Styela clava: one gene and its partner. The main gene of each other region encodes a partner of the protein of the gene in region 2 in a complex. Links are inferred from orthologs where the notes say so. Each region holds a gene or a part of one and is shown on either strand. Other genes may lie near its edges.

What was found. The genes of interacting proteins can lie anywhere in the genome.
Region 1: pre-mRNA-splicing factor CWC22 homolog (region 2) and pre-mRNA-splicing factor 38A-like share a complex: the UniProt entries of both Drosophila melanogaster proteins name them as parts of the spliceosome C complex. The link is inferred for Styela clava from reciprocal best matches to the Drosophila melanogaster genes ncm and Prp38.

The regions. Positions count from the first base shown.
Region 1 is NC_135260.1:5,477,933-5,485,511, reverse strand, and holds the start of pre-mRNA-splicing factor 38A-like, read right to left. Parts: upstream 3,001-7,579; 5' UTR 2,880-3,000; coding exon 2,750-2,879; intron 1,534-2,749; coding exon 1,374-1,533; intron 1-1,373. Other genes in the region: FAS-associated factor 1-like, read right to left, coding at 3,935-4,015, 5,168-5,323, 6,045-6,200. UniProt on the Drosophila melanogaster protein: Required for pre-mRNA splicing.
Region 2 is NC_135257.1:820,016-826,927, forward strand, and holds the start of pre-mRNA-splicing factor CWC22 homolog, read right to left. Parts: upstream 3,002-6,912; 5' UTR 2,941-3,001; coding exon 2,753-2,940; intron 1,895-2,752; coding exon 1,766-1,894; intron 1,534-1,765; coding exon 1,365-1,533; intron 945-1,364; coding exon 822-944; intron 699-821; coding exon 561-698; intron 50-560; coding exon 1-49. UniProt on the Drosophila melanogaster protein: Required for pre-mRNA splicing and for exon-junction complex (EJC) assembly. Hinders eIF4AIII from non-specifically binding RNA and escorts it to the splicing machinery to promote EJC assembly on mature mRNAs.

The sequences.
Region 1 (7,579 bases), on a different chromosome or scaffold from region 2:
CGAAAAAAAAAGCACTCGAGCCCAATCTTTTTAGCATTAAGTCGCATACGTAAAATATCCTGTAAAAGAAGTGCTGTTCATTAACGTCATCTCGCCTTATGACCACGCAGAAATGCTTTTATTGCCGAATTATTCAATCACTATTTCAAATCAACATTCAGGATAGGCACAAAACCTGGATATCGCCGCCAAAACGATCGGTGGGTGACAAGAACAATTAGCGATTACAACGGAATTAACCAGTAAAAAGGCTTTGTTGCCGATTTTTTAATGTTTCCACCACGTTTATTCGGTACTCCTTAAAAATATTCGATTTAAAAAAATATTGAATTTTGCCCACCCCTCCTCGCATATCAATGAGAAATAGTTGTGTAATTATCGCCAAATTCCGGAAAATGCCACGTCCTTTCAACATTGTAATTACAATAAAATGGCACTTAATGGTATTTTGTGAATTTGTTGATTTTGCAAATCTGTGACATGCTGCTAAAAGTTTCGTCTGATTTGAAAATCGTGCAGTTTGGTCACAATTCATCCAAAGTGACTAAAACAGTTACTAACACTTTTTATAGTCATTTTGAATTCATCGATATCATTGATAGTCACATGACATGACCACTCTCGTTCAAAGAAACGCCCCGGGAGCGTTTTTTGCGGGAGAAGCGGAATCCGTGTGCTTGTATAATAATCATATTATAAACAAGAATTTTGCCGTTAATGCAAAAGCTTTATCTCCTATGTCTGCATCTCATAGGTTAGAATTCCGGTAAATATCGTTATGATATGCAGAATTGAGTTACAAAAGTACCAGTATGTTACTTATTTGTCAACTTAATACTCGAAAATATTTGTTAACTTTGAATTTTTATTCCCTTTCAAAATCGGAAAAAAGTGCTATTTCTCTTCAAAATCGGAAAAAAGTGCTATTTCGCAGTCCCTAAAAAAAGTTGCGAAAGTGCTTCGCAATTTTCGCAAAAAAGTGCGCTAATAGTGAACACTGATCCTAAGTGATTCAAGAGTCTTGCTGCACACTAACACAAATATATTTCTGTAACGTTTCGTCTGACCACGGTCAAACTTCCTCAGACATACATATTTCAACTCCGAGGAAGTCTGAGGAAGTTTGACCGTGGTCAGACGAAACGTTACAAAAATATATTTGTGTTAGTGTGCAGCAAGACTATTTATTGAATTACTCAGGATAGTTATCTTCACTCTTGCTACAGCATCCTTGCATTATATGCATACGGATCCACCGACGCAAAAGCATAGAAAACGGAAAAGTAGTTGGTCTTGTAGAAACCCAATCGATAAAAAAAGAAACTGTTCTTAAAATTTTCCTACAACTGAGCATGGCTTTCATTTGGACTTACTTGAAATCCTCTGTCTTTATAAATTCCACAATAATATCTTTGTCTGGTTGAATCTGAAGCATTTTCAAAATCAAACATAAGAAAGGTGTTGGTTTGATATTTCCTCCATAAACTCCACCAATGTACTTAAGTTCCATTGCCTTGTCTACAAGCAGCTCGGCTAAAAATAAAAATGTGATTATTCATCACAATCAATAAAAAATTAGTAGACTAGATATGAATGTAAAAGAAATTCAGACATCGGGATGTATAAGACCTGCAATATGTTAAACACGATTGCACGAAATGCAACCCTGAATATACAACGAGAATATCGGTTGAAAACCGAAGACTTATCGATCGATAGTTAGGGGATCCCCCAAAACAGAAACTGCAGTTTCGATTCATCCGCTCTTGTAACTTGCGCACTGCGCATCGCACACACACACTCGGCGGGTTTCGAAATTCTCTCGCTTTAAAAAATCTAGATCACTATATCAATAATTGATTGATAACTCGCTAATTATACGACATAATTCGCCCAAAATCAATAGGCTTCTGGTCCGAGATAAGATGAATGCACATGCAAAATCTGGAGCAGATTCAACCTCGCTTTCGTGAGATATCGCGTGCATCTAACAGACACACAGACAGACATACATACAGACAAATACCTATCAATATACTTACCGATCTTAAGATCGATAAGTAATGACTGTTAACTGCCAAACAACAATTGTAATATATACCATAAGTGATATAGACCAAACAATATTCCAACAAACCAAGTTGGGACAAATAAGGAGACAACGCATGATAATGAAAATTGGAAGGCTGCGTAGGGATAAATTTAAGCATGTTCATATGATTTTGAACAAACATTCATGCTGGGGATGGGCCTTTATAAATATCTGATGATTAAAGAATAGAGTCATACATTTTTTCCAGTAGAATCGATTAAAGTTTGATACTTAAACGCTGTAATTATTTGTGACTTTTCATTGTAATAGCTCATCCAGACATATAAACTCTTGAATGCTACCTAAAATTTTCCTATCCAGCCTTCTATAAATAGAATTATTTTTTCCGAAGAATCTAATGGTGTCGTTTTCTGATTCGTTTTACAGGTTTAGTTTATTGCACTGTGCTAGTTTGTGCTGATATACCGTAAAGGCCCAAATTACCTCGTAAAGGTGTGGTTTGCAATCACTGTTATAATTGAGGTTCTTTATTAATGTCAGCATGAGGGGAATTTGAGAACTGCTCAAATTTACAAATAACCCTGTTTCAAACCCACAGATTACAATATTACTGTATTAAATGATACAGTACGGTACCGGTATCAATCAACCATAAATGAACTCCCAGACCAGGAAATCGTTCTGGTATTAATTTACCTGTAAGAGCAAAGCATTCTTCTTTCCAATACTTGCTGTCATAAATACGCGATCTTATAATCTTTTCCACCAAATACTGCGGATTTGTTCCTTTCACAGTAACCGCATCTTTCACTGTGCGATTCGCCATATCTTATAAAACTGCGGGAAAAACGAGAAATCAACCCGAAAACTGTTGATTTATCGTGATAGTACCTCACGCTTTTTAACACAGTTGACGAAAACCAGCAACCTTGATCTTTAGCCCCGACTAACGGATATGAAATTTCAAAAGTTTGTAACTGGTTGGCTTGAATAAAAAAAAATTTAATGATTGTAATTTCAGTGGTTTCAGTGTTATTGTCTCTAAAAGGATAATGCATATATCTATTTCAAAAATTTATGTAAGTTTTTTGTGGTGACGTCATTAAAAACAGATTGCGTGCCGTGTGACGGCTTCGCGATCGCCTTTCAGCGAAGTCAGTATTTTTTGACAGGGAAGACTTCCTTTACCCTATTGCAATAGATTAGATACTTCGTTTTGATTACATTCAATCTATAGTAATTCGTGATTTGGTCCAACAATCCCAACAGAAGACGTGATTCATTGATGCATGTTAGCGAATGGAGCCGGCTTTCCGGGATGAGAAGGTGCGTCAATATTTCATCGCCAATTTCTATATTTATGGAAACGGCGGCTAGATCGATATAATGGTTTACTCTGAACTACAGCAGAGCAATACGCTGCAAAACTCATCGCAGTGAATGACATATTGGGCCGAATATAGTTAGTGGGTAGGCCTAGACATGGGAGTTCAGATAGGTAAGGGGTTGGGTTTAGAGTTTAGACAGTGGGAGGTCAGGTACGGTTAGTGGACGTGGGAGATCATACAGAGCTAGTGGGTGGCATTGGACATATGGAGATAAGTTGGGGTTTGACATTTAACAATTCGTTAGAAAATGGTATTAAAAGTGGAAAGTCAGGAGCTACCCACTGAGAAGATCGGGTGGGGAAGAGGATGTGATGAAGAATTCAGGAATGCTTAAAGAAATGGGTCGTTTTTTTCAATCTTCATAAAGATTAGTATCAATATTGGATAAGCGTATAGATCCCTACCCTCATTCATAAACATCATTTAGGAAGATCGAACAAACAAACAAAAGTAAAACATATTTATTGAAGTTACAGACAGTTTTAATGAATGTTCACTTCATCTCGATGATCAGAGTTTCTTGTCTTGCAAGTCCATACGAGTTCAATGGTCGTTTTGGGTTTAAACATGAAAGCTAAAAATAATAGGACAAATCAATATCGTTTTTATATCAAATCATACGTGTTCATAAATTCGATGAACTAAATTGGAAATATTACCAATATAAAAATATTAATAGAAACTTTTGCCCGTAGTGGGGAGATATTAAGTTATCTAAAGGCCGGCCGCACACAGCCACAATATATTTATTGCGATGCAATATATTTTTAGAACTCCCATTGTTTATTGAAAACCCGCACCCATTTTAGACTTCATTGTTTCGAGAATTTATCCAATATTTTGAGTGAATTTTTTTTCGAGCAATAGATCATGTTCTACTTTTTATTGCTAGCGCGCGATAATTGCCTTGTGGGGGAAACTCACTCAGACAAATATTTTATTTTTATCATGCAAGAATCAATGCAAAACTTCCGCTCTGCCTGCGTTGTTCAGCTGTTTGCGTGATCTTGTTGACGGTTGTGTAGCGTAAACGAATGATGAGCTATTTGACTGAATTCGCTCCACTAAACGATGTCTCAAATTGACTAATCTTTTTTGCATAATACAATGGTATTCCCCTTATTTAAAGCATCATTTTAAGAAAATGGACGAAGGTGGTTTATATTGGATTAACTGGAGTCAATCCAGAGTCAGAGTCTCACGCCTCGCTGTAGCATCATTGCTAAATATGTACACAGTAACAAAAATTGGCATCACTTGTCAGTCACATTCAGTTCAATCAACGTTAATTACTTGAGCAACCCATGTCACGAATTTTCGCCAATAATAGCTCATTTCGGGTCCATTTTTGTATGGTCATTTCATTTTTTCACTCGTCAACTATTAGGCCGTAAAATTTCATTCATATCTTTATAGAATTAAATGCTAACGTTCTATTTTGGGGGATTACGCTAAAAACCTATTTCAGCCCCAAATTCTACGCATGAAAACTGATAGTCCGGTAATTAAAAAAAAAACGTTTTTTTTTAATGTTTGGTTAGTATATATAGACTAGACAGAGAGTTTAGAGCTGATTTAATTATCTCTAGTCCTAACGTTTACTTGTATAATTTCCCAACAAAACAATACTAACACCATTATTATTGATAAGAGTATCGGCATGTTTCGATATTTACTAATATCGAAAAGTTTCATAATACTACTCATTCTAAGCTTTAAATGTCACCTCGCGCCGCGGGCACACTGATATAATTCTGTAATTCTTCAACGAAAATCCTTCGGAAATGATGAAATTCAATAAATCTTGCAGTTTATCCGACCTAGCAAATTTTCTGCTTAAAAATCCTTCTCCGGTAGGTTTTCGTAGTCGAATTTGAATGACCTGAAAACATACAAAGCAACAATGTGGCGCACCGTGCTAAGCGTTAGGAATACAATCGCCACGCACCTTTGATTACCCTGCGTGGGTTGGCAGGTTCGAATCCTACGTGGGGATAGTTATGTGCAAGAGGATTGCTGTACTCCTCGCCGTTTCAGGGTGGTTTACTTAACCGCTGGTCGGTTATGGCTTCCATCACCATCAAGTCCATGCACCTAAAAAAATGACTAACTAATCCAAAACCCGACATGGACTGGTAATCGGACGAGAGCCCGTGGTTCGCCATATGATTAAACCGTTTTATCGGCTTTTCTTTTCCCCAGGATAATTAATTATGCAAATCCTATCCTATATTATACCGGTTTTACGGAATCAGTTTCTTATTTATAAAAATGGCGACTTTTTGTTTCCTTCCACATATTCCTATTTTCAATCGTAAACGGTTTTTACTGACTTTGTTTAAATTAAACACTTATGACATTCGGAATTTTATTTTCACAAGTACGCACTGTTTGGAAATGGAAGAGCTATAAAAAAGACTATTATTTTCGCGAAATCTTAACATTTGTCGAATGCTTGTGAAAGTGTTTTTTATATGACGATAAAAGTTAAACTTTATGAAAACCTTTTTGAATTGTTAATTCAACTAACCACACATGAGTCATCTAGAGAGTGATAGTAACATTATAGACTTCATTATTCAAACAATCTCAGCAGAGCTTACATTTCTTGAATGGTTTGGCTCCTTTCTCAAAGATGATTTCATTTTTGAAGATTCCGCTTTTAGTTTTCTTTGTTCTTTTATTTCGAGTTCTCTTAATTTATTCGCGTTCACTTTGTTCATTTTCTTTAATCTTGATTCTTCTTCTCGCTTTTTAGCCTGTACATTTAGATTTTTGGTGACGGCATATTTCACTAAACTATTTCTAAATTTGAATAAACTACATATATATATTATCTATTTTAAACGCATACATTATTTGATCGGGGTGTGCAAGCACCGCTAATGGGTGCGAGAACGCTGAATTGTCAAGTTAAGGTTGAAGGCGCTCCAAAAGTGTGTGTACTAATATAGAGGTAACTAATTTTGTTTGCCTACTTTACATCAATTTGTGTAGAGGGACTAAAACCTATGGGAGGAGGCTAACACAGACAGTCCCCGAACTCGTAATAAAACTGAAATATGAAAAATTGGAATAAAATTATGGCCTAATCTGGTACACACACTACGGAAGTACCTGAAAAAATGAACATAACAATCAAAGATATATATCACAGTTATGTGTACACACTTATGTAGTAACCTATCGCAATCAGAAAATAATGCAATGTTCGTGTTAATTACAATTTATGAAAACTATTTCCACAGCAATTCTACAAAATGTGTTGGAGAACCGGTTAGTTAGTATTAAGAACTACCGTCTCAACCTTAGAAAATAGCCTAAAATACGTTGTCAATTCTACAAAATGTGTGGGAGAACCGGTTAGAAAAGAAAAAGGTTTGAGAACTACCGTTTCAACCTTAGAAAATAGCCTAAAATACGTTGTCAATTCTACAAAATGCGTGGGAGAACCGGTTAGAAAAGAAAAAGGTTTAAGAACTACCGTTTCAACCTTAGAAAATAGCCTAAAATACGTTGTCAATTCTACAAAATGTGTGGGAGAACCGGTTAGAAAAGAAAAAGGTTTAAGAACTACCGTTTCAACCTTAGAAAATAGCCTAAAATACGTTGTCAATTCTACAAAATGCGTGGGAGAACCGGTTAGAAAAGAAAAAGGTTTAAGAACTACCGTCTCAACTTTAGAAAATAGCCTAAAATACGTTGTCAATTCTACAAAATGCGTGGGAGAACCGGTTAGAAAGAAAAAAGGTTTAAGAACTACCGTCTCAACCTTAGAAAATAGCCTAAATTACGTTGTGACCTGGTGAAGTCTGATTTTTGTCAGAAGAAACTTACAGAAATACATTTGTGTTAGTGTGCAGCGGGACTTTTGAATTGCATAGTATATATAATATTATACAGGGTGTTCATAAAGTTCTCTTACAATTTCAATTTTGTTTTGAAGTCAGTTCTCAATATATTTTAACCAAGTTTTTTGATCAGTAATTGTTTAAGTATATTTACTTCCTTTAATACATCTGTGAGGGCCAAAACAATATATGGTATCGATAAATTTCTTTTGCAATTTTTAAAATTATTAGGACATTATGGACACCCTATATATATCAGAACTTGCTTAGTATGCGAGTAAATAAAT
Region 2 (6,912 bases):
CAACAGAAATATGTTCCTTGAATCCATCTTTTCGAATAGCAAACATCACCTGATTAAAAAGAAAAGGTAATATCAATTTAAAATTCAGTGCCCTGGATTTTTCAATTCATTTTGAATTTGAATTCTCTACATTGATACTCATATCAGTTATGACCGAGAACTCGTGATATATTGGCTGTCACTGGCTTGAACAAATTTATTCTTGACTCAAGATCTCCGAAACAAATGTGAAAATTAAATTAGATGACATAAAATGATTGACAAATAAGAGTAGCAGAGTGGAAGTAGAAAATTGAAATGTAAGAATTTTTTGCACCGTAAATTTTAGCATGGATTAGCATGATTTAGGATTGAATTTGAAAACATATAATGTTGCTTTGACAATATCTTTTGATTTCTATCCTATATCAGATCAAAACGTATAAGTCTGTTTGATGCGATTTGCTACTTCATAATATAGTCTTCAATATTAGAAAAATAAATAAATGTATCAGATGTAAATGAGATTTGAGAAATATCTGCAATCAATGAACTTATGACAGTAAATTATAATTAGTTACTTCAATCATGTATTGCACTCTCTTGTCAAGCTCTTGTTCATGTAATATTGTACGTAAACGTTCCATGACTGCTGCAAGACCACGGGGTGATACCTCTAATAATTTTTGGCCACACTCTTTTAAGAATCCAATTGCAACCTGAGAAAATTCAAGAGAAAGATTTTCACTAAAAATACTTTAGTTTGAGATAAACGAGTTTAAAACATGCCATTTTATTTATTTATCATACATTCACGAATTAACCAAACCACAATCACATACCTCCACAGAATCATCTGTCGGGTTTTCAAGCAATAGAGTTAAAATTTGAAGTCCAATAATCTCATGTGCAACTTGCTGGTTCATCAAATGGGCAATGAATTGTGCAGAGTGGAGGCATACTTCCTAAAAAATAATGACATGAAGTCAGGTAAGAAAAAATATCAATCTCTTCAATTTAGAATCTCAGTTGGTAAAGTAATAAAATGATCTGATCAGCCACTCACAGTAAAATAAATTTGATTCAAAACTAATCATGACCTTTCATGGCATTCACAAACCCCGACATTTACATTAAGCATTGATTTAAAATGATGGCAATTTTTCAAAATATTATTATTGTCCCTTTTTGCTTTATAAAAACCTCACTATAGTGTCTCTCACTATAGTAATTTATTAGGAAGACTCGAATATTACGAGTCAGCTGTGACAACTTGACTAACACAAAATTAATATTATTTAGGCCTATTGTAAATTAATTGTAAAAAAAAAGTTTATTCAACACTATCTTCACAGGAGATAAATTTACGGACTTCGGCTAGCTACCTTTCTATTTCTTTTATAAGACCGACGGAATTGCAAGGCAAGTCTTCTTAATATTAACTCTCCATTTTGTGGAAAACGAGTGTTGATGATTGCAACGAGAGCAGCATATACTTTTGTAAAGGTTGGAGAAGCATTTTGAGCTTGCAATATAGATTGGGCCAACACTCCCCTGAAAAACATGTTAAAAGTTTTTAATTCGACAACAATCTTGACCACATTATTTGGAAATGCTTTTAAAAATTTGCAATTGTGATCAAAAAGACATAATGAGCAATATCATAACATGACGAATATATTGACAATAATATAGATGCATCTAAAATTTCATAGTATTGGACTATTGGCATTAGATATAACAGTTTATCTAAATAAAGAACCCGACACACAGTGGCACATTTTACCTTCCACGAACTATATTTTCTTGAAATAACTCTCTGACAATGCTTGATATATTTGACGTGTTCACTTTATTGATCAAACCGTTGATACTCTTCTTCAGAGCTTCCCAACTTATTCTCTGATATTGCTCGCTACAAAATATTGAAAAATTCAGTATTATTATTAAGTCATCATTTTGCTGTCAACAGAGAAATTCCATTAATTTAATAATAAATGCTTCAAAGCGCATATAGCAGGGTGGTCCAAGGTTGGTGGCCTCGCAGGGCACACTATTATATTTGATGTGTTCGCGGGCCAAAAGAGTTCAACTTATAAATAACTGCAGATTGATTGAATACCGAATTTTACCAAATTTGAGATACAGGAGGGTAATTACTAAATTTTCTGACATATAGGCAGCATTTTTTGTAATACTAATTAGGCTGATTGCGGAAAACCACCCAACAGGAATTATTTTATGGTTATTTTTATGACGAAACAACACCAAATTTTGTTTTGTTAGATTTTTTGTTTACCCTCCCGCAATGGCAGCGCGGGCCATAGATAACGAAGCCTGGGTTTGGATCACCCTGGCATATTGGAACGCTGTGTAACACTTTCAGCATTGTGTAAGAGAAAATAACAAAATTTTGAAAATATTTGAACTTCCACTCAGCACGCCAAAAATGAAGATAAGGTGCTCTCAACATGGTGTGGGAGTGGGCATGGGTATATAAGATATATTTCACCGTTAGTACATCACACAGGTATATCAAAAACAAAAATTTTATAGGCAGAAGAGCATACCAATAGAATATAAATAGTTGGGAATTGGGATAGAAGTGCCTGTTTGAAGTCCGAAGCTTACATAAATGTTAAAGTACTCATACCAATTAATCACCATATATTTCTGGGCAATTCAGTGGCTGGAATTCGAACTTGAAATGCCACAAGTGCTAACCATAGCATCAATTCGAATAATATGGTCATAATATTTTACTGTTTCAAACCTGCTCTTATCAGTAATCTGCTGTTGCATCATTCGTAAACGAGCCGGAGGAATATATGCTCCTCCAGTTTTTGTAGAAATCATGGATTCTTTGTCAATTTTGCTCTTCTTCTCTGGAGGTTCTCCTTTATTCTTTTCATTTTTCTCCTCTATTATTTCACCTTCTTCCAGATGTCTAGCTTTACTCATGTTTTGAACTGAAAATTTATACACTACTGAGCTCTGAAGCTAGTCTATGTGCAAATAAAGATATAGATACATTTGCAGATTTGATAGACTAGATATGTACATTATGCGTAAATTTTATATTAAATTCCCACCCCAGACACCACCAAATATGACAACACTCAAATCAAACAAACAGACATTGAGGGACATTAATCTGGTAGATTTGCGCGTATTCTGATATTACTGTATGAATTTATGCTAGACTCTAGTCCAGGGAGGTCCAAACCCTGGCCCGCCGCTTCACTATCTGTGGCCCGCATCGCATTTGCGCAAGAGTGAACAAAAATCGCATTTGGCATTGTTTCTTCATAAAAATAACTAGAAAAATCTTTTGACATATTGTTACATCACTAATGTCAATGAATTGACTAGTGTCATGGTTAGCTGAGGCAACTAGCGAAGGAATAATGTGCTTTGCTAGTCTAAATTGTTAGCTGGCTTTCTATCTTTTTGGTCGGGAATATTATGCTAACAGAATATTCTTCATAGTAAACTAAAAATCCAATGGAAATCTATCAGCCTATAGGTTGGGTATGCCTGATAACTAAATATTAATGTAATGGCCGAACAATATAATTCCCGCCGGGTGTTTCTTTTTGCAACCAGCCTAAACAGTGTTACAAAAAATGCTGCCAATATGTCAGAAAATATAGTAATTATCCTCCTGTATCTCAAATTTGGTGAAATTCGGTAATCAATTAATCTCAGTCATTTATAAGGTAATTTTTAAACATGAGTTTGAAAAGAAAGTTGACTAACAGATTTTTGACTGGATATGGCAGATAAAATATCACAATGCTTGCCTAATAATATGTCTGCAAGTTGTATCAGTGACAATCTAAAACAGTATTTTTTCCTTATGGCACTTTTTCCAAGATGAGGAATTTGAAATCTTACACTACTGCACTAAATGTATTTACAGTAAGATTTTTGCAAGTTATATTTAGCTTTATTTGGTAGTTTTAGCATATGTTAGCTTGATAAATGACAAATAATGATCAATGTGTTTGGACAATAAAGTGTTTGTTTAGTATTGCACTAATTACCTATTCTTGGCACTATTGTGGCCCGCGAACGATACAAAAATGATAATGTCATTACCACTGTCCCCCCCAAGGTTGCCGATTTAATATAAAAATTGCAAGGAAGTATATGAAATGACATTTGCAAGACCTCTAAAGGTCCGTTCCGGTAGGTTTTCCACTCCGTTCCGGTAATTACAGAAAATTATTTTTACCACTGCCCCCCCCCCCAAGTTTGCCGATTCATTATAAAAATTGCATGGAAGTATATGAAATGGCATTTGCAAAGCATCTAAAGGTCCGTTCCAGTAGGTTTATGTGGGTTTTCCACTCCGTTCCTGCAATTTAGAGTACCGGTACGTTCCGGTAATTGGGGAAAATTATTTTTACCACTGCCCCCCCCCCCAAGTTTGCCGATTGAATACAAAAATTACATGGAGGTATATGAAATGGCATTTGCAAGACATCTAAAGGTCCATGTAGATTTTCCACCCCGTTCCGGTAATTCTGTAATAAAAGGAACCGTCTTATTGTTATTTCCAGTACCGGTATTTCTGTCCAAGATTTAGTCACATTTAGGAAATAGAGTCCGCAGCCAGACAGCTCAGGTGGATGAGTTAAGCCATATCTGAATTTGCTAATGTTTCAGTAATTCCGATAACAGGATAATAAGATTTCAGCAGTTACCGTACCGGTATTCTACTCTGCGTGGGTTCGCAGGTTCGAATCCCATGCAGGGATGGTTATGTGCGAGAGGATTGCTGGACTCCTCGCCGTCATTGGGTGGTTCACGTAACCGCTGGTCGGTTACGTCTTCCTCCACCACCAAGTCCATGCCTCCGAAAACAAACAATATAACTAATCCCATACGGTACCGGTACCAGACTTGAAATGGTAACCTGACCAACCTGACGAGAGGCCATATGCTGATATGGGTGGTTCGCCATATGGATAAGCTGCTTATCGGCTTTCCTCTCGCCCGGGATAAATATGTAAATCCTATCCTATTCTACAGTACCGGTAACTGGTTTAATAATTAGGACGGTAGGATCAAAGTGACTATCTTAGTCGATTTGGGTAGGATAGCCCGACGTTTAAGAATAGACGAACCTGACCAAAATGTTCCCACTGCTCCAATTACTGATTTACAATACTAGCCTATAATTCCATAGGACTATTCCATAAATATAAAGTAAAAGTTACACCAATTTTCAATCAAAATGTGATATAACCATTTACTGCATTTCAGCATTTAAGTGTGCAGCGCGTTATACACAGTGCACGTTACACTTAAATAATTTCGGCAATAACTTCGGAAAAGCTAATGAATTAGTTAATTAATCAAATTAATTGAAGTAGTCGCACGTGCTTAATTGAAAAAAAAGTCAATATATAAGTGCAAACGATATTGAAGAGATTCGCCCAAGCTCAAAGCGAAATGTGCGCAAGTACGTATGCGTTCGCTCACTAACCCAAAAAATTTTGCTAAACTGGAAGTTTTGTTAGATTCAATCACAAGTCGACCCGATATAATTTCGGTTAATGAAACTTGGCCTAAACCTGACCAAGTTGGCGCTCATATAAATTTACGAGATTACAGATTCGTTTCAAATGCAAGAAGCAACCGGGTGGTGGTGTGGGCTTGTATATTAGAGATGGTATTACCTTTAAAACCAGACCGGAATTGTCCATGATGGAGGAGAAAACGTTTGAATCGTTATTCATTGACATTAATCTTAAAGACCGAATTGTAACTTGCGGTACTATTTACCAATCGCCGCTGTCCGATAACTCCAGAAATAAGAAATTTTTTAGCCACCTCAACATTGTTTCGCCCTCACTTTCAAGACAAAGTATACTAATGAGTGATCTTAATTATGATCTGATGGACACATCGCACCATTTTGTCAACGAACTGACTGAGCTAATGAACCAATATTCCTTTTATCCCACTGTTGCCAAACCGACCAGAATAACTGAAAATAGCGCAACAATTCTTGATCGTATATGGACAAACATATACGATCGAAAACCTGTCAGCGGTATTCTAACCGATGCCATCTCTGATCATTCACCTGTAATGCAGTGTATGCCGATAGAGCAAAAAACATTTAAACACGAGGAAAACAGTTTTTCTCGATCATTTAGTCCGAACAATATGGCCAATTTTAAAACGGCGTTAGAATGTATCGATCTCTCTGGGGTGTATGAAGAATCGGACCCGAGCAATGCCTTCAAAAACTTCTCTTGTCATGTTATGCCAGTTTTTGATCGCTGTTTTCCTCCGATTTCGACTAAAAAAACTAACAAGAAGTGGTTTGATAAAGAATTAACAAACTTCATAAGAACAAACAGAAACGTTACAAATTATCTCTTATCGAGAAATCGCAATGTTCCAGGATTAAGTACTTGGAAATTAAGAAAACCTATTAAAAAATGATACTGTCCCAGAAGAATTTTACTACAGATCGGTTCTGAATAAAACTAAAAGCGATCTGAAAAAGTCGTGGCAAACGATGAATACCCTGCTAGGTCAATGCAAATTTAAACTGTCAAAAGTATTTGTTGTAGGAAATATTGAAACGTGTGATCCCGTGTCTATAGCTGATCATTTTAATAAACATTTTTCTACGATAGGAAAGCGAATGGCTGAGAAATTCTGTAATGATACTGACGGTAACTTCATGAGTTACATGAGTAAATCGAGCACCTCAAGTATTAATGTTTTTATCACCCGTAACAGCCATTGAAATACAAGCTATCGTTCGAGCTTTTAGACCTAACACCAGATGTGAGCTTGATGGAATCCCAATTAAAGTTATCAGAGCAATGCCATGGATTTGCATGTTATCTCCGGCTCATATTTTTAATCTTTCTTTGCAATCGGGACAATGTTTTGATGAATTTAAAA